Linked DNA regions of Macaca fascicularis. The protein of the gene in region 5 purifies or fractionates together with the protein of the main gene of each other region. This does not show direct contact. Links are inferred from orthologs where the notes say so. Each region holds a gene or a part of one and is shown on either strand. Other genes may lie near its edges.

What was found. The genes of interacting proteins can lie anywhere in the genome.
Region 1: the proteins of CLTC (region 5) and CLTA purify together in Homo sapiens (co-immunoprecipitation; 6 studies listed by BioGRID and IntAct, with this or other methods). This does not show direct contact. The link is inferred for Macaca fascicularis from reciprocal best matches to the Homo sapiens genes CLTC and CLTA.
Region 2: the proteins of CLTC (region 5) and MYO6 purify together in Homo sapiens (affinity purification with western blotting; 4 studies listed by BioGRID and IntAct, with this or other methods). This does not show direct contact. The link is inferred for Macaca fascicularis from reciprocal best matches to the Homo sapiens genes CLTC and MYO6.
Region 3: the proteins of CLTC (region 5) and AP2M1 purify together in Homo sapiens (affinity purification with mass spectrometry; 3 studies listed by BioGRID and IntAct, with this or other methods). This does not show direct contact. The link is inferred for Macaca fascicularis from reciprocal best matches to the Homo sapiens genes CLTC and AP2M1.
Region 4: the proteins of CLTC (region 5) and PTPN23 purify together in Homo sapiens (affinity purification with mass spectrometry; 3 studies listed by BioGRID and IntAct, with this or other methods). This does not show direct contact. The link is inferred for Macaca fascicularis from reciprocal best matches to the Homo sapiens genes CLTC and PTPN23.

Annotation. Positions count from the first base shown.
Region 1 is NC_088389.1:63,142,891-63,145,658, forward strand, and holds the end of CLTA (clathrin light chain A), read right to left. Parts: intron 2,033-2,768; coding exon 1,997-2,032; intron 1,053-1,996; coding exon 881-1,052; 3' UTR 603-880; downstream 1-602. UniProt on the Homo sapiens protein: Clathrin is the major protein of the polyhedral coat of coated pits and vesicles.
Region 2 is NC_088378.1:99,257,823-99,261,682, reverse strand, and holds part of MYO6 (unconventional myosin-VI), read left to right. Parts: intron 1-741; coding exon 742-833; intron 834-2,887; coding exon 2,888-2,960; intron 2,961-3,860. UniProt on the Homo sapiens protein: Myosins are actin-based motor molecules with ATPase activity. Unconventional myosins serve in intracellular movements. Myosin 6 is a reverse-direction motor protein that moves towards the minus-end of actin filaments.
Region 3 is NC_088376.1:96,096,855-96,100,584, forward strand, and holds part of AP2M1 (AP-2 complex subunit mu), read left to right. Parts: intron 1-1,277; coding exon 1,278-1,543; intron 1,544-2,604; coding exon 2,605-2,687; exon of another isoform or gene 2,688-3,047; coding exon of another isoform or gene 3,048-3,086; intron 3,087-3,284; coding exon 3,285-3,420; intron 3,421-3,520; coding exon 3,521-3,662; intron 3,663-3,730.
Region 4 is NC_088376.1:110,332,118-110,335,321, reverse strand, and holds the end of PTPN23 (tyrosine-protein phosphatase non-receptor type 23), read right to left. Parts: coding exon 2,344-3,204; intron 2,251-2,343; coding exon 2,066-2,250; intron 1,939-2,065; coding exon 1,834-1,938; intron 1,753-1,833; coding exon 1,614-1,752; intron 1,522-1,613; coding exon 1,408-1,521; intron 1,330-1,407; coding exon 850-1,329; 3' UTR 603-849; downstream 1-602. Other genes in the region: SCAP (sterol regulatory element-binding protein cleavage-activating protein), read left to right, coding at 1-199. UniProt on the Homo sapiens protein: Plays a role in sorting of endocytic ubiquitinated cargos into multivesicular bodies (MVBs) via its interaction with the ESCRT-I complex (endosomal sorting complex required for transport I), and possibly also other ESCRT complexes.
Region 5 is NC_088390.1:47,021,118-47,024,977, forward strand, and holds part of CLTC (clathrin heavy chain 1), read right to left. Parts: intron 3,811-3,860; coding exon 3,640-3,810; intron 3,281-3,639; coding exon 3,059-3,280; intron 1,858-3,058; coding exon 1,837-1,857; intron 1-1,836. UniProt on the Homo sapiens protein: Clathrin is the major protein of the polyhedral coat of coated pits and vesicles. Two different adapter protein complexes link the clathrin lattice either to the plasma membrane or to the trans-Golgi network.

The sequences.
Region 1 (2,768 bases), on a different chromosome or scaffold from region 5:
AGACCCTAAACCGAGGGACACTGGCAAACGAGCCCATCTGGGAGAAAACAACTAGGTTGGTGAGAGGATTCACAGCTGTGTCTTAGGTAGATAATGAGGGGGTTAACCTTCAGCCATTAAACTCCCTTCTCAAATGAAAATGTCCACAGAATCCCACTCTAGATCCCGGCGCTATAACCCCCTCAGCCATTAAACTCCCTTCTCAAATGAAAATGTCCACAGAATCCCACTCTAGATCCCGGCGCTATAACCCCCTCAGCCATTAAACTCCCTTCTCAAATGAAAATGTCCACAGAATCCCACTCTAGATCCCGGCGCTATAACCCCCTCAGCCATTAAACTCCCTTCTCAAATGAAAATGTCCACAGAATCCCACTCTAGATCCCGGCGCTATAACCCCCTCAGCCATTAAACTCCCTTCTCAAATGAAAATGTCCACAGAATCCCACTCTAGATCCTGGCGCTATCTCAGTTCAAGGCAGGGCTGTGTGCCCAGTGGCTGTGCCTCCTCAGCCCTACAAATTTCAAGGAAATTCCTCAACCCTTCCAACCTCACTCCAAACTACAACACATCTTGAGGTCAATAAAGAAGCTTCACATAATACAGTTTGAAACAGAAATTTATTCTCAGAATAATGCACAAAAGCACAGGTTGAGGCTACTGTTGGGAGGCTTCCCTCCCCTTCCTCTTGCTCCTCCCCCTCCTCTCTGAATGCCAGGGAGAACACAGTTGAAGGAAACATGCAATCACAAACAATGATCAACTCTAAAGACAAAAAGGTTTGGTCCAAAAGAACTCAACATAATTAATCCAATGACTGTGAAGAGCTTCACTGAGTAGGATTATATTGCAGATGTAGTGTTTCCACAGGGTGGCTCTTCAGTGCACCAGCGGGGCCTGCTTGAGGGAGATGAGGACTGAACGCATGCGGGAGACGTCTTTGGCCTGCTTGCTAGACTTGGGGTTAAAGTCACACAGCCGGGCCACCCGTTCCCACTCAGTGCCTGGGGATGACTCGTCAATGTCATTTACAAAGGCTTCTTCTGCTGCCCTGGAAGCAACAACAAAATATGTTGGTTTATGTAGAACCCCCTTTGAGCAACCTGGTGGCTGCCTTGCTACACAAGCAACTGCCTGTTTGTCCCTTTCTTAATGGCATTCTGGCTTTCCCAAGATAACAGTCCCTGGCCCAGGTCAGACTCAGGTAGACACGTCGCTGGCTCTCCTAGGCACAGCGTGCCCAGACCACTGTGTAAAATGTTGGAATACAGGTGTTTGGTTCAGGGCTCACTACGTCTCTCTGTCTGGCTGTCTCTGCTCCTGTGGAGCATTAATAAAACAAGTCCTTAGCCAGCTACACACTGCTTTTATTAACAAGAACAAAGCAGCAGGCTGGTCAAGAACTTGAGTAGTTTATGCTGGGCTGTACTGAATTTCAAGGAAATTTAGAGACTTCTAAAAGCCCACAGATCATTGCACAATAGCCTCTAGATTTATTCCTAAGGCTGGAGAGAAACGGGGCAGATCAAAAGGAATTCAAGACAAAGCTCCCATGCTAGCAGGCACTAGAGACTAAAGCCATTCTGGAAGGGGGTTTGTTAGGACATTCTCCAGTCAGCCAAAAGTTTGCCATTTTCCCTCCAGCCAGGTGCCTTGGGGCCACTCAGGGCACACTGGCAGGAGAGCCAACGTGAGTTGCTTTTTGGCAGGATGCTGCTCCAACATTCTTTCACATCAAGGTCAGCCCACCCCCAGTTCGGAATTAACTGGTGGGAGCTACAGCCGGAAAGGACAGCAGTAAGACACACTATATTCATCTACTCCAACAAGCATCACGGGCAAAGCAAAAGCAATGGAGATGACTGGTCTGTAGGGACGGAGGGGTGGCACTATCACAGGGATGGCCGTGGCAAACACCGCTGAAGCCCAGAGCCACTACAACACTGCGACTTCATGGCACACACAGTTAGGGGCAGTGAGAAAGGTTTACTTAACTGTTCTAGGCTGTAGCAAGGATGGTTTATGTTTGTGCTTAAAGGTGAAGAGAAGAAAAGAAACGAGAGAAACTTTAAGTCAGATATAGAAAATGAGAATGAGCTCAATGCAGATGGTCAGTAAGCTGGACATGCCCTTGCCACTCTATCTGTGCTTAGGGACGTGCAGCTGGCTTTGCTGGCCACCCAGCTGCCCAGCAAAACCAGACTCGACCTTTCCAAGTCTCCATTTCTACTCCAGAGAGAATGTGCAGAAATCAAATCAAACACCACCTGTAAGTCCAGCATTTCACAAGTCTCACTGCAAATGCATCTGGGGGCCCAGGAAACCCAGTTCTGTCTTCTAAGGGGATGAACATCTCAAGGTCATAGGCCCTGAGAGGCTCTACAGACCTGAGCTCATCGTCCACCTTTTACAGGTTCCTCTCCTCTTCCATTCCACCCTTACTTCTCTTGTAAAGCCAGCCCTAATTTTTAAGGAGGAGACAATGAGAACTGTTTCTAGCTCTTCAGCAACACTGCTTTGATAACAGGAATCGTTTTAAAAAAAAAAAAAAAAAAAGAAAAACACCTTCTCCAGCGAAGATGCAGGTTTCTTTTGAGGGGTCTGGGGGAGAAGCCCAAGTGGCCCATATCAGACACTTCAACTAACCTATCCTGATCTCAAAGCTGGGGGCTTCCCTGTGCTAGGAGACAGGACATCAGAAGCTGACCACTAAATAGCAATTTCTGACATGCGAGACCGCAGAAGAACAATTATAGACACCCATTGG
Region 2 (3,860 bases), on a different chromosome or scaffold from region 5:
ATCTCTTAATTTTAGAAATGAATTCGTATCCACAGCATTTTTGATAAGTAATTTTATAGATTATGCAGAAAAAAATCTTCAAAAGCACTTGTATTTTAAGTTATTTTTGTGCTTAATTCAGATTGCTTTAATATCTGTGCTTTAAAGAATTGTTGACCAGGTGCAGTGGCTCATGCCTGTAATCCCAGCACTTTGGGAGGCTGAGGCCGGCAGATCACTTGAGGTCAGGAGTTCAAGACCAGCCTGTGTAACATGGTGAAACCCTGTCTCTACTAAAAATACACAAATTAGCTGGATGTGGTGGCGCATGTCTGTAATTCCAGCTACTCGGGAGGCTGAGGCAAGAGAATCACTTGAACCCGGGAGGTGGAGGTTGCAGTGAGCCAAGATTGTACCACTGCCCTCCAGCCTGTGTGACAGGGAATCTGTCTCAAAAATAAATAAATAAATAGTTACAAGTGACTTACATTTTATATCTTTTAGTATACAGCATTTATCTCATTTGAGAAACACCTTGTCAACTGAAGCAGGGTATTTTTAATACTTTTAATGCCTATAAAGTTTTGTCTTGAAATGAGAACATTTGAGAAGTATAGAACAAATATATATATATACATGTGTATATATATATTTTTAACCTAATTTTAAATTAGGCCATTATTACAATTACATTTTATTCTACGATAAATTTATATGAAGTTGATCTCATAATGACTCTTGGTTCTGGTTTTATATTTTCAGAGTACTTTGAGCATAACAGTTATGAACAATTTTGCATCAACTATTGCAATGAAAAACTTCAACAATTTTTTAATGAAAGGATTCTGAAGGAGGTAATTGCCCTTATAACTTAAATTTAAGATCTGCATAAAGCTGTTTTAAATTTCAAGGAAGAGATATGCTGCAGTTACCCTGATTGGTGGGGATGGATGTTGTATAATGGAAGGTGACTGAAGCCCGGCAGAGGCCCCGGGGCTCAAGCACATCAAAAGTGTTAATGGTTCAGCTGAAGTTTAGGGACCTGATAAAAACTCTTAATGGGGGCTTCCTCAGAAGTGAACATCTATTTTTATTAGTGACTTTTAATAGACTTGAAGCTCTGTTTCTTTTTATGATTTTGTTGTCTCTACTTTTTTGTTAAATTTATTTTTAAATTTATTTTTATTTTTATTTTTATTTTGAAACAGTCTCGCTCTGTTGCTCAGGCTGGAGTGCAGTGGTGTGATCTTGGCTCACTGCAGCCTCCGTCTCCCGGGTTCAAGCGATTCTCCTGCCTCAGCCTCTCCAGTAGCTGGGACCACAGGCGCGGGCTACCACACCCAACAGATTTTTGTATGTTTAGTAGAGACGGGGTTTCACAATTTTAGCCAGGCTAGTCTCGAACTCCTGGCCTCAAGTAATCCGCCTGCCTCAGCCTCCCAAATGCTGGGCTTACAGGTGTGAGCCACCGCGCCTGGTCTGTTGTCTCTACTTCTACCACACCAAACAACTTTCTACCCTCATCCCTGCCTTTGGCATCTCTCATTCTGTTTTTTGTTTGTTTGTTTGTTTTTTAGATGAAGTCTTGCCCAGGCTGAAGTGCAGTGGTGCGATCTGGGCTCACTGCAACCTCTGCCTCTTGGGTTCAGGTGATTCTCCTCCCTCAGTCTCCTGAGTAGCTGGGACTACAGGCACGTGCCACCATGGCCAGCTAATTTTTATATTTTTAGTAGAGATGGTGTTTCACCATGTTGGCCAGGCTGGCCTTGAACTCCTGACCTCAGGTGATCTGCCTGCCTCAGCCTCTCAAAGTGTTGGGATTAAAGGCGTGAGTCACCATGCCCTACTGTACCTCCCCTTCTTCAGGTCTCTCTGCTTCTGCCTACTCTGCTGCCTGCTCACCTTTCTCTGTCTGGCAGCAAAGCCACCAAGTCAGCAGATTTGATGCGTCGATTGTCCTGGAGTGCCTCTGGGCAGTACTTTCCTTGTCACGCCACCTTGTGGACTGTCAGCTGCTTCTACTGTATCTGGGCTGGAATGTGCAGTATTTTATTTCCTATTCCCATCCTTTCTATCTTTCCCACATTTTTATTATGTTTATGTTTTTACGGGCTTCCCAGCACATTCTAGCTTTTGTACATTTTACTTACATTCTATAGTTAAATAAATTCTGGCATAAACAAACAGGTAAAACAAGTATTTACCAGTAAGGTAATTTCTCTGAAAATGTTTATCCAGTCACATTAGTTCTATTACTATGCGAAGTTTTACCTTCATGCCTGTAATTTAACGTAAGCTAATCCTTCCCTTCTACACCAACCTACCGAAAAACTTTATCTAGAAACATTATAAAAAGGAGACTGTATTTTGATTTATGTTCACCTTTTTAATATCCTTTAAAATAAATGTGAATTTCAAATTGAGATGTGTTAAAGTGGACAGTGCCTTCTAGAATGTTGGAAACCTTTTCTAGTATCTCTCATGAGAGGAAATATTTAAACATTCAGGAAACAACATTAAAACATATTTACTTAAATTCATTGCATAGTTTACCCATCTATGATAAAATCTCTTTAAAAATTTTAAGAAGACACAAGACATGGTTGAGGACTCAAATTTGACCATATATTGTTCTTCCAAATTACGCTTATTTTCCCCAAGTGATGTATGCCTCGTATATATCACTGTATTGATATTAGAGTCCATTTGCAGTTAATTGCTATTTCCTTGCCTTTAGTGCCTGTCTGCAAATGTTCAAAATCTGGTATGTTTTTGGAAAACATTTAAGGCTATACCAGTTTGTATAAACCTTTGCATTCTAATTAGTAAATGTTATGTTCAGAAACAGCACAAAATTTACTATTGCTCTGTATTTCCATATCTATGATTATGATTATTGCATTTTTAGGAACAAGAACTCTATCAAAAAGAAGGTTTAGGTGTTAATGAAGTACATTATGTGGATAATCAGGACTGTATAGGTATGTGTTTTTTAACTCCATCTTTGAAAAATATGGGAAGATAAAGTGAATGGGTTCAGTACTTTTTCTGTGCTTTGTAATTGACATGACTTGTTATATGACTTGAAACTGGTGTTTGAGAGAAGGTTACTTCTCTATTACTGCTTGGAAGTTATTTTTTCCTACCAAGACATCAAAGTTATCTTTGTTGGAAGTTTTCTATAATCTCTTCTATTTATTTTGAAGGATGTTTTCCTACTTAAATAGTTAGCATGTGAATTGGTTAAGGGGGAAACTTAATTGCCTAGTCAGCAAAGAGATTTATTCACCTGAGGAAGTCCATAGTTAGGCCAGGCTCCAGGCAAGTTTGTCAGGGTCTGCCCTGCTTTTCTGTGATTCTCTTGGTTCTGCTGTACTCTGTGCATTGACAGCACCCTCTAACTGGTTGTGAGTTGACTTCATGTGTCACAGCCAGATAACACTGTGCAGCAGGAGAATAGAGGCTCTGCTTTCATTTTAGTGGTAAAGAAACCTTTCCCTGTAGCCCCACAGCCGGTTTTCAGTCTTTCGTTTCTTCCCCACCCCATCTCTAAAATAGACCGTTGGGCAAGCCTTGTTTTTAAAACACAATTTGACAATCCTGTTAGTAACTGATGGGCTAGATTTGAAAAAAAAAAATAGTATAATAATAATATTACTTTACATCAGTATAAATTTTCAAAGCATTTTCACATTTCATCTGGTCCACTCCACGTTTCCTTAACACACTGACCCTTTCTAACCTCTGTGTCTTTGACTGTGTGGTTTGATATGGCTGGAACTCTTTCCCTTCAGTTTGTCTTTTGGCCCACTTTCACCTGCTACTACATCTATCAAAATACTCGCATTCGTAGCTTAGTTCAGCATGCCCCTCCTGCACTA
Region 3 (3,730 bases), on a different chromosome or scaffold from region 5:
CATTCCTGGGGGAGAGGCTGGGAGGGAGCGTGAGGCACTCTCTGGGTCACTAAGAAAGGGCAGGGAGGCCATGCTACCCTCTCTGGTTTATCAGAGTAGACCCAGAGCGGCTCCATATCCTGGGCCTTCACACAGAGCCACAGCCTGCCTTCTCATTCTGCACCCCCTTGCACACGCTGGACCTATCCTAGCCTCCGAGGCGCTAATGAGATTAGGCTCCTCTGGTTCCTGCTGCCTGTTTTTCTTCCTCAGAGAGCTTGAGATAAAGTCACAGAATGGGCCTGTGGCAGTGCTCCTCATTTGGCTCCCTGGCTGATGGGCTGGCCTGGCCCTTGCGGGTGTTTGTCCATTGGCTGGTGGTGTGGCATGAGTTAGAGCTGCAGCTGTGGCAAGGTCTGGCCTGCCTGAATCTGGCTGGCTACACCCCCCACCCCCACCCCCGGCCCCCCTCCTGCGTTGGATGGACTAGGCAAGCCAAGGCTGGGTCACACGCCACCTTGCCTGTCTTGTCTGCTTCCACCTCACGGTGTGTGCTGCCCTCCCGGTGTGTTGTGTGTCTAACCCTCTCTCTCGTTGCTGTCACTCTCCTCTTCTTGCTGGCGTCATTTCTCTCATCCCATCTCATTGACTGCCGTAGCAATAGGTAAGCGGCCTCTCAAGCTGCTGCCCAGGTACAGGTGGGTGGGGGCCCTGCCCCCATCATTGTTTTCCTGCATCCTTTTTCATTCCCTGAACTTGCTCTGGAGTTGGATCCTGGGCAAGAATGGGTAGCACAGTTCCATGGCCCCTTGGTACTTCCTCCTTTGTGACTTCTGAAGCCATGCTGGCTTTGTATAACATCTGGAGGAGTCGGCCCTCCCCACTGGTGGGATCACTAGTGGGAGGACTGGAGAAGCAGTGTCTCTTTCTGTCCTGGACCTGGGAGCTTACAGGGAAGCTAGATAAAGCTGGGAAATTAGGGCCAGCCCTGGGAGTCAAGAATATCTGTCTCTAAACCTGATGAACCTCACTTTATTAAGGTTACATCGGCCTTAATAGTTGACTTCCCTATTTCTTGTGGCCTTTAGACACTAGCCCAGCTCAGGCACTCTTCCCATGCCTCCACAGGGAGTCATAAGAAGGGAACCACCCCAGTGGTTTAGGCATTGGCTTTCTTTAGATTGTGTGTGTCAGACTTCTGCAGAAAGGTGGGTGGAGCTGTTAACAGCTGTGGTTGATCCTTGTGGGGTAAGGTTCGCCTGGGTGCTGAGCAGGCCCTGTGCACCCTTTCCCCTCAGGAGGAACGCAGTGGATGCCTTTCGGGTCAATGTTATCCATGCCCGGCAGCAGGTGCGCAGCCCCGTCACCAACATTGCTCGCACCAGCTTCTTCCACGTTAAGCGGTCCAACATTTGGCTGGCAGCAGTCACCAAGCAGAATGTCAACGCTGCCATGGTCTTCGAATTCCTCTATAAGATGTGTGACGTGATGGCTGCCTACTTTGGCAAGATCAGCGAGGAAAACATCAAGAACAATTTTGTACTCATATATGAGCTGCTGGATGGTGAGGCTGGTGGGCTGGCAGGGCAGGGGGCCTAGGGTGGGAAAGAACCAGGCTGGGCCTGGCCTGAAAGTGGGTGTAGGTCCGAGGCTCTGGTACACTCTGAACTTTCTTTCCTGAGTATCTGGGCTCTTGGACTAGGATCTCTATGCCCCTCAGAAGGCCAGTTCACATCCAAACCTAAAGGCTGGTCTGAAGTAGAACACAGAAATAGGCCAGCAGGTGTGGAGGGGAAGTTTTGGTCTTCCACGGGGCTAGGAACCTGACTCAGGTTTGGTGGTGAGCCTCCTGTATTCATCCTCTTTCCTTTGTGGCTTGGACCTTACTTCACTGACTGTCCACCCAGTTTTCCATCTCAGCAGCTGCTTCAGAGCCTGGGGGAGACTGAGATACTACAAGCCTCTGGGGGTGCACTGTTACCTCTGTTTCTCTGTAGAGTGTGATCTAAGGGAAGGTGAATCCTTCCACCTTCCCATTGTCTATTTTCTGGAGAAAACAGCTCAAAGCTTCTTGATTTGCCACCCACTGGCCATGTGACTCTTCTATTGATTTCTTTTTTTTTTTTTTTTTTTTTTGAGACAGGGTCTTACTGTTGTCGCCTATGCTGAGTGCAGTGGTGTAATCGCAGCTCACTGAAGCCTTGACCTCCCAGGCTCAAGCAATCCTCCAGCCTTAGCCTCCTGAGTAGCTGGGACCACAGGCACATGCCACCATGCTTGGCTCATTTTTACTATTTTTTGTAGAGCTGGGTCTCGCTATGTTGCCCAGGCTGGTCTTGAACTCCTGGGCTGAAGTGATTCTCCCACCTTGGCCTCCCAAAGTGTTGGGATTATAGGCATAAGCCACTGCGCCTGGCCTTGATTTCTCTATTTGAAAAAATCAAACATTTGAATTGTTTTCCTGTAAAGCACAAATCACAGAATAAATGCTACAAAGCTAGAAGACTTTGTTGCAGATGATCCCACATGGTCTTTGGGAGCTGTGCCAGTCAGACATGTGTAGGCCCAAGTAGGGACTGGAATGAGAAGGTTTGTTCAGGGGCTGATGGTTCCCTTCTTTTTCAGAGATTCTAGACTTTGGCTATCCACAGAATTCCGAGACAGGCGCGCTGAAAACCTTCATCACGCAGCAGGGCATCAAGAGTCAGGTACTTGAATTGTGCAGACTATAGTCAGGGTGCAGGCCAATCTCCCTTCATCTCAGCTGGCCCCTGAGCCTTGTCTGAGCTGACTCATAAGCCCTCCCATAACAGGAAGTGCTGGCCTGAGCCTCCTGCCATGATTGCAGGCCTATTTTGCTCTATGTGGTCCTCCCACTGCAGGAGCAGCCAATTCAGCATCTCTGTTACCAGGAATACAGCTCAAGCAGTTTCCTTTTGCACTGAGGGTTGGGGGAGGAGGCCTGGTCTTGAGGCCTGGTGTTCCTCAGGAGGAGAGAGCTTGGGCCCTCTCCTATAGGATCCAAGCCTCATAGCTTTCTCCTCCTTTTCTGCCTCCCTTGCTACTTCATGTGGGCACCTCGTTGGCCCTGCGGCCTCCAGCATCAGGTAAGCCCTTCCCTTAGCTTCCGCCCTTGCAGCTTTGCTTTGTTTCTCCAGGCCCTGCCCTTTGGGGCTTATAGGGGAAAATGGATTACAGGTGGGGACTAGAAGGGATGGGGAATGAGGGTGGAGTGGGGATAGAGACAGGATGATTAAAGGGAGAGGGGAGTGAGGCTCTTGCTGTTTGTTTCTGCTCCCATGTAGACAAAAGAAGAGCAGTCACAGATCACCAGCCAGGTGACTGGGCAGATTGGCTGGCGGCGAGAGGGTATCAAGTATCGCCGGAATGAGCTCTTCCTGGATGTGCTGGAGAGTGTGAACCTGCTCATGTCCCCACAAGGTGAGGTCCCTCTCACAACAAAGCTGGAGGGGGACCAGGGCAGGATCCTGGGTCTGCCTGCCTGACTCTGCTGCTCCCCATTTATCTGTTCCATCATCAGGGCAGGTGCTGAGTGCCCATGTGTCGGGCCGGGTGGTGATGAAGAGCTACCTGAGTGGCATGCCTGAATGCAAGTTTGGGATGAATGACAAGATTGTTATTGAAAAGCAGGGCAAAGGCACAGCTGATGAAACAAGCAAGAGGTGCCTGAGGCAGGAGAGCTGGTGGGAAAGGGTGTCCCTTGGAGGGCTCGGTGGGGTCTAGTGAACCA
Region 4 (3,204 bases), on a different chromosome or scaffold from region 5:
GGTGACCGGCGGCCAAGGCTGTGTCTCCTTTTGGGACCTAAACTACGGGGACCTGTTACAGACAGTCTACCTGGGGAAGAACAGTGAGGCCCAGCCTGCCCGCCAGATCCTGGTGCTGGACAACGCTGCCATTGTCTGCAACTTTGGCAGTGAGCTCAGCCTGGTGTATGTGCCCTCCGTGCTGGAGAAGCTGGACTGAGCATGGGGCCTCCCTGCCCAGGCAGGGGTCTGGGGTGCTGTGTGGGGGCCAATGCACTGAACCTGGACTTGGGGGAAAGAGCCGAGTATCTTCCAGCCGCTGCCTCCTGACTGTAATATTAAACTTTTTTAAAAAACCACATCTGTCAGGCACTTTGGGAGCTACTTGTCTCTCTCGGAATTGTTTGTGCACACACTCTGCCTGGACCCTCCTCAGAGCTGCTGAGGAAACATACAGCATGGCACAGGTAGCAAAGCGGGGAGGATGAGCAAGCCAGAACTGCAGGACCCTTAAAGAACTGTCCTGGTAGTATAACAGTTTGGTACCATCCTGTTATCCACGAAAGGTGCTAAGTTCCTGCCAGTGCTACTGGAGCTGAGGCAGCAATGGGCAGACTCAGACATGGGCCACAGAACAGGGTGGTTTATTATTTCAATAGCAAAGAGCTGAAAAATGTCAGGTCTCATAAAGGAGCAGAACCTGACCCAGAGCCTGCAGTACATCTCCACCCCACAGGGGTGCAGACTGGGCCAGGCAGGCCAAAGGCAGCAGAAATGGGAGTAAGAGACTGTGCCCACTGAGAAGCTCTGCTGGGTGTGGGCAGGTGGGCATGAGAGATGTAGTGTAAGGACCAGGTAGGCGAAACCTGTTCAGGTCTTGTTGAGTGTCCACAGTGGATCCAGAAGGCTGAGGGGGTCGTCAGAGGGCTGGGTGGCCCGTAGCCCTTGCCCGTTATGGGCCTGCAGAAAGTTCTGCTTGCTCATCCGCTGCTTGCCCCGCAGGGAGCTATCCAGGGAGAAGGCCTCTGGGGTCAAGGAGGCCAGCAGCTCCAGGGAGGAGGAGGGGGGCCCCGAGCTGGGGGCTTCAGGCACTGGCGGCTCCTCCTTAGGCTGGGGAGCCTCAGGCAGCGGGGAGGAAAGGGGGGGCGGGGAGGAAGATGGGATTGGGGTAGACTCTGGGAGGCTGGCTGGCGGGAGGCCTGGGGGCTCTGCAGGGCCTGGCAAGCTGGCAACTGGGGACTCCAATCCCCCAGGAGGCCGGATGCTGAGCTTGGCAATGGTGGCCTGGATGGAGCTGATGGGCACATCCCCACCGAGGACCAGGTCCTGGGAGTCCTGAGGAAGGTGGTTCTGAGAAGACAGAGTGGGTGAGGAGAGGGAGTCCCAAGGTTGTGGCTGTCCCAGCAGCTTCCAGGGAACCTTCCTCACCTTCTGGCTGATGCTTGCGCTGGCCAAGGGTTTGCATGGAGGGGGCACACCATGGCGCTGCAGGACCTGCTCCACGTGTCTCACCACTGCCTCATAGCAGAACCGGAGGTGCAGCTGCACAGGTGCATTTGGCCAGGTCAGCCAGGCAGGGGCCCGTCACCCGGAGACAGAAGGCCCATCCCAGCCCCACCTGCCCAGATCCTCACCTTCTCCTGCAGCATGTGCTTCCTCTGCTGCCGCATGCGTCGCACCAGTTGAGGCAGCTCAGGGATTCCATTCCCAGCCTCCACCTCCTGCACAGCTGCGTAGAGCAGCGCAAAGGCTCCCGTGCGGCCCACACCAGAGCTGTGCCAAGAAGGGGGCATGAGGCTGGGGAATGAGGCCAGGCCAAGAGCCCGCATAGAGACTGTCAGGCCCACCCTCTACCTGCAGTGCACAACGATGGGCGTGTGCAGCGGCCGCTGATGCAGGTAATGTGCGTGCACCTCCTGGATGAAGTGCAGCAAGTTGCTGGGGCTGTCGGGCAGGCCTCTGTGGGACAGGATGGGGTGGGGAAGAGCCTATGAGCCAGACCTGATCTCAGGCTCTCATCCCTCCCAGCACCAAGGACTGGACAGCACCCCAGACCCCCAGCCACCATCCAGAGCAGTGGACGCACAACTCAGGCCAAGTGGGGAAGTGGAGGTGCACGAGAGAGCGCTTGAGGCTCTGGTCTCGGAACTGCAGGCTCAGCACACGTTCCACATGCGTTTCAGTGCTGCGGACGCTGCTCAATGCCAGGCTCAGGGCACCGTGCACCATGGGCTGGCCCCTCTCGGTGGGGAAGTAGCGTGCCACTTTTTGCTGAGGGACAGACAAACCAAAGCAGGGCTGGTTTTCCAGGATCCCCTGCCCTGCCACCCCACACTGCCCTCGTGGGCACCCAGCCCCTCTCACCTTCTCCATCTCAGCCTCAGAAACCAGCATGACAATGACTGACACTTTCTGCTCATGGACCATGAGCCAGAAGTCAGCAGCTGTGCCGGGCAGTGGGGCCTGGGTGGCCACTAGTGGCGGGCAGTATGGGGAGAGCCCCTCCACGCAGCTGGCATTGATGTAGTCATCCTTGCCTGAGCGCAGTACCACACGGTTACTGTCGTACGGCATGACATCCTGGTACCGGTTTTTCAGTGAGTAGCAGCGGGCGATGGCGATGGAACGGCCTCGGGCATCATGTTCCTGTGCATCTTGCAGTTCCCGCCAGACAGTGTCCAGAGCCCCCACATCCCCCAGCTGGCCCCGAAAGGCCTCCAGCTCCTGCTGCAACTGCCGCAGCCTCTCAGGATGCTCATAGGGGTCCCGCTCAATCAGCCGCAGGGCCTGCGGCCGACGGCCCTCAGCTGCGTCCACCTTGGTGGGCTGCAGCAGGGGCTGCCCACCCCCAGGAGGCTGAGTGCTGCCATGCTGGCTCTCCGGGCTGGAGGAGAGCAGGTCTGCAGCTGCAGCGCCTCGGCGCAGGCAAGGGGGTGGTTCTGCTGCTGGGGGCCGAGGGGGCACAGAACCGGGCCCTGGAGATGGAGCAGGTGAAGGCACTAGGTGGGGACTGGGGGTGGGCTGGCCAGCAGGCGAGGGCCCTCGGATGGTAAGAGGGGCTGCCTGGGGGCCCACGGGTCTGGCAGAAGGGGCAGGACCATATGCCAGGGGGGGATGGGGAGGCTGAGGGGGCCCAGGGCTGGGGAAAGGCAGAGCCCCTGAGTGGGCTGGCAGAGGGTCTTGAGCAGGACCTGGGTAGAGCTGGGTGTGCAGGGGGGTTGGCGG
Region 5 (3,860 bases):
ACAACCAAAAAGCCACCACTGCATAATACATTTCCTGACTTTCGAGGAAAAGAATCTGAAGTGAACATGTGTTTAAAAGTTAAGGTCTGAATCAGATGTTGAACACAGAAGTCCTATTAGAGAAGCACATGGAAGACTTAGAAGAGCTGGCAATATCACAATGCCCTGGCATACACATAGGAACTCTGGGCATAGGGGGAAGAATTCTGAAGGAATAGCATCAAGCTAAGCAAAAAATTCTGATTCTTCTATATGATGGGACAGCCTCTGGCACAGGGACTTTCAATTTTTGTTTCCACTGATCCAATTTAGATTGCTCAAAAAAAAAAAAAAAAAAAAAAAGCATAGAAGGCTTTTAAGAACACAAGCTTTTGTTAAGAGCTGTAACAAAAGTTTCTGATCCTTGGATTTAAAAAGAAAAATTACAGGTAAGCATGTCAATGAATTCAGTTCCATCTGTACTACTGAAAATTCACTAAAATGTAAAAGGCTTTTCCACAAAGACTGCAATATGCTGCAGAGGAAAAGTAACATGCAGTCAGTTATTTTGGTGTATGTGTGCATGAAAAAAAGGCAAAAGTACTGAAGCAAGAAGTGTGATCTGAAGATGACTTGCTATACAGGCTCTCAAGAAACACACACAGCCCACAGCAATGCTATAAGAGTTTCAAAAATAGTATGATGTAATTGCAATGACTGTTGTACATGCTCCATTTAAAACAATGCATAACACTGCAGTTCAATTACCTGTTTTTCACACACACGCTTTCTAACTGCCTTGCTTACTAGCTGCTGAAGGGTCTCACACACAATGCATTTTACTCAGGTTTGCCCTAAGTTCCAGTGGTGACTCCAGTTTGGTTCAACATAATCCCAAGGCATTGTCCCCCACCCAAATTATTTTCAATTTGTTTCAACTCTCCTTTACCTTCCCACCCTTTTCTAACCACAATTTGATAACAGACGTAAGTTTGTTTCATTCATATTGGGATGGAGACAAGCCAATGAAGGAAGCAGCAACCAAAAGGTGCCTGAATTTGACCTCCTTGGACAAGCCAACTGATAAATAGGAGAGCAAATTTTAGGTAGCTTCAGTGGTATGCCTTATTACAGAAAGTAGAAGTTAATACTTTGTTAAAAGTAATTCATGTTGCTTAGCAACAATTATAGCAAGCTTGGCTCTCGTGATTAAAAAGGTTTTGATTCCTCTTAAAAATGGACTAGCACCATAAGAACTGGACACCTGGAGAAACATGAGGAAAGTCTCTTCGGAAGCAGCTAGTATCTCTTGTATCTACTTTCAGCAAAAAATTAGTAAGAATCAAGAGATCAGAAACTGGATCACAGTCCTTCAATACCAAAAAAAAAAAAACCCCAAAAAGCCTTTTAGGGCATGTATATACATATATAAATTCAACAACTGTCAGGCAAGCTCACAAAGTAAAACCAGAGGCTGTTTTAATTTACTTCAAGTATTATGATAGTCCTATTAGGGTCCAGATACCCTGACAGGGAAGAGAAATTTCCTGTTACTTTGGAATTAATATGGAAACTCACCATACTCAGTTTTTCATAATATATTTAAGAGAGACTGTGAACCAACTACTGATTAGCCTCCTGCCCTTCCTAAAGCCTATTAGCCGATTAGTAGCAAACGTCTACTAATGTCCTACAGTTCTATTAAAGTTATGTTTCAAGGGACTTGCAGAGGCTTTAGTGAAAATTTATTGGGGGGAAAAAGCAGCAGCAGCAGTGTAGAAAAGGAAGGAAAAAAATCATGCAAATTCCTTAGACTTAGTTCTCCAGACTTAAAGATGGAAAAGAATCAACTTTCACCTTTTCCTTTATTGCATCAACCTGCAAAGGAATTCAGAAGGTGCAGCTTAGAAAAAAAATCAAATTCCATATTGAGCATAAAAAGGTAGAATCAGCAACAAAGGTTTAGGGAAGAAACATCTAACCACTAAAAAGGTATGAGAGAAGTGAAAATAAAGGGCATACTGGAAGCAAAATTTAGATTTTTCTGTAACTTCAAAGCTTACTGCAGAAGAATTTATGCTACAGTATGAAAGAAAGCAGCTTAATCACTAGTAAAATTTACAGCACTTAGGTTAACAGCAGCTTAGAGACAGGTCTCACAAGTTGGCATTATGTTTAAGAAGCTATTCTCATCTATGGCTAAAACATGTTGGCTAAGACAAGGCAACATGTTTTTTCTTACATTGAATACAGAAAATGTTAATTCTTTAAAAACTTGAAACAGACACAATGGTATCTAATTAAATGATATCCTGAGGAAAAATTCAGTGTAGTAGGGGTTGTTGGTAGTGCTCCCACTCCCCCTACCCCCGCCTTAACTCAGGCAGGCTGAAGGAATCAGTTGGGAGAGTCTGATTTTAATCATGTTTTTTGCTTTGACAAAAAGGATCCTCTAAAACCATTTAAAAATGTTCTAGAGAGAGAAAGCTAGTAACTGCTGAAGACAGAGTGAGTAAATTCTTATATCAAAAAGGGACACTAAGATGAATAGTGAATTTTACAAGGCAATTAGACCCCCAGCTTGTTTATGTGTTCACCTCCTATGATATTTTTAAATCAGGGGTTAAACTATCAAAAAAAATTGTGAAGATTAAAAGGATGTTAAGAATATACATGCAGCTTCCCCAGGGGAAACAGGCATAGACATCACTAAAGTCAGGAGCCAACCAAATAAAAGGGAATCTACAATACTAGTTATGATTATTTGAGTTACAAGAACTGAGTTTGAGAAAAATGCGACTTTGAAATAAAATTTATCGAATAGTTTTTAAAATAAAAAAACAAAATATAGATTATTTTCACAATCATAAATACACTGAGGGTAAACAGCTACATTTGAGTTCCCCTTCCAAACAGTGTCATTTATCAGCTATTAAAAATTTTTCAAAAGAACAGGAATATTTTATGATCGACTAAATGACTTCTACTAAATAAAAAAAATTAAAAAAATTAATGTGCATGTAGAATTTTACATATCTGCAAGAAAACTACTTCTGAATACACTTAGAAGAGTCATTACCTTTGTCAAGTATTCCTTCATGACCTGGATGAAATAGGGCATGGCAAAATCCATGATATTGTGCCTCCATGCAGTTTCTAGGACAACATCTGGCCTTAAAAGATCGTAACAGGTAAACAGACAAGCTCCAAAGCACTCTCTTTTTTCTTCCTGCAAAAACCACTGCAGGAGTTCTTCAGCCAACTCAGTATCTTTAGATTCAGAAGCATACTGCATTGCATCCTATTCAAAGAAAATAGTGAAAGTCAAAAAACATTAGACCCAACATACTAAACTAGTAAACCAAGAAAAACAATGGAACCTTTCCAATATAAATCTGGTTTTGCAAGGGGGAAAAAAGCCTCCTAGTTGTATCATTTAAATTAAAATTTTCAAAGAACAGATAAGCTAAAGGCCTTTTTTTCCCCCCAAACAAGTTTGACCTTAACATAAGAGAGCCCCTAGAATCAAGAAATCCATTAACTTAAATTGCCTTAAAGTCAGTTCTCATATTCACAAAACCAATACTTTTATTTATAGAAATCACTTGTAACATCATTTTAGGCCTGGTTTAACAGCCCCCGCCCCGCAACTTTATCAACCTTGTAAAGGCTGTCTTTCTTGCACAGCTCTACACTCTGTTTCCAGCGATTGTTGCCTTTGAAGAGATAAGCAGCAATTCTCCTGAACTCAATGAGTTCATGTTTTTCCAAACGCTGAGCAAGCGAGATATTGTCAAAGTTGTCATAAGCATCTATTGATGTTCGCAGAGCCTTAAAAAAAAAAAAGCCATCCAAATGCCAGATCAGTATTTTGTTTAACA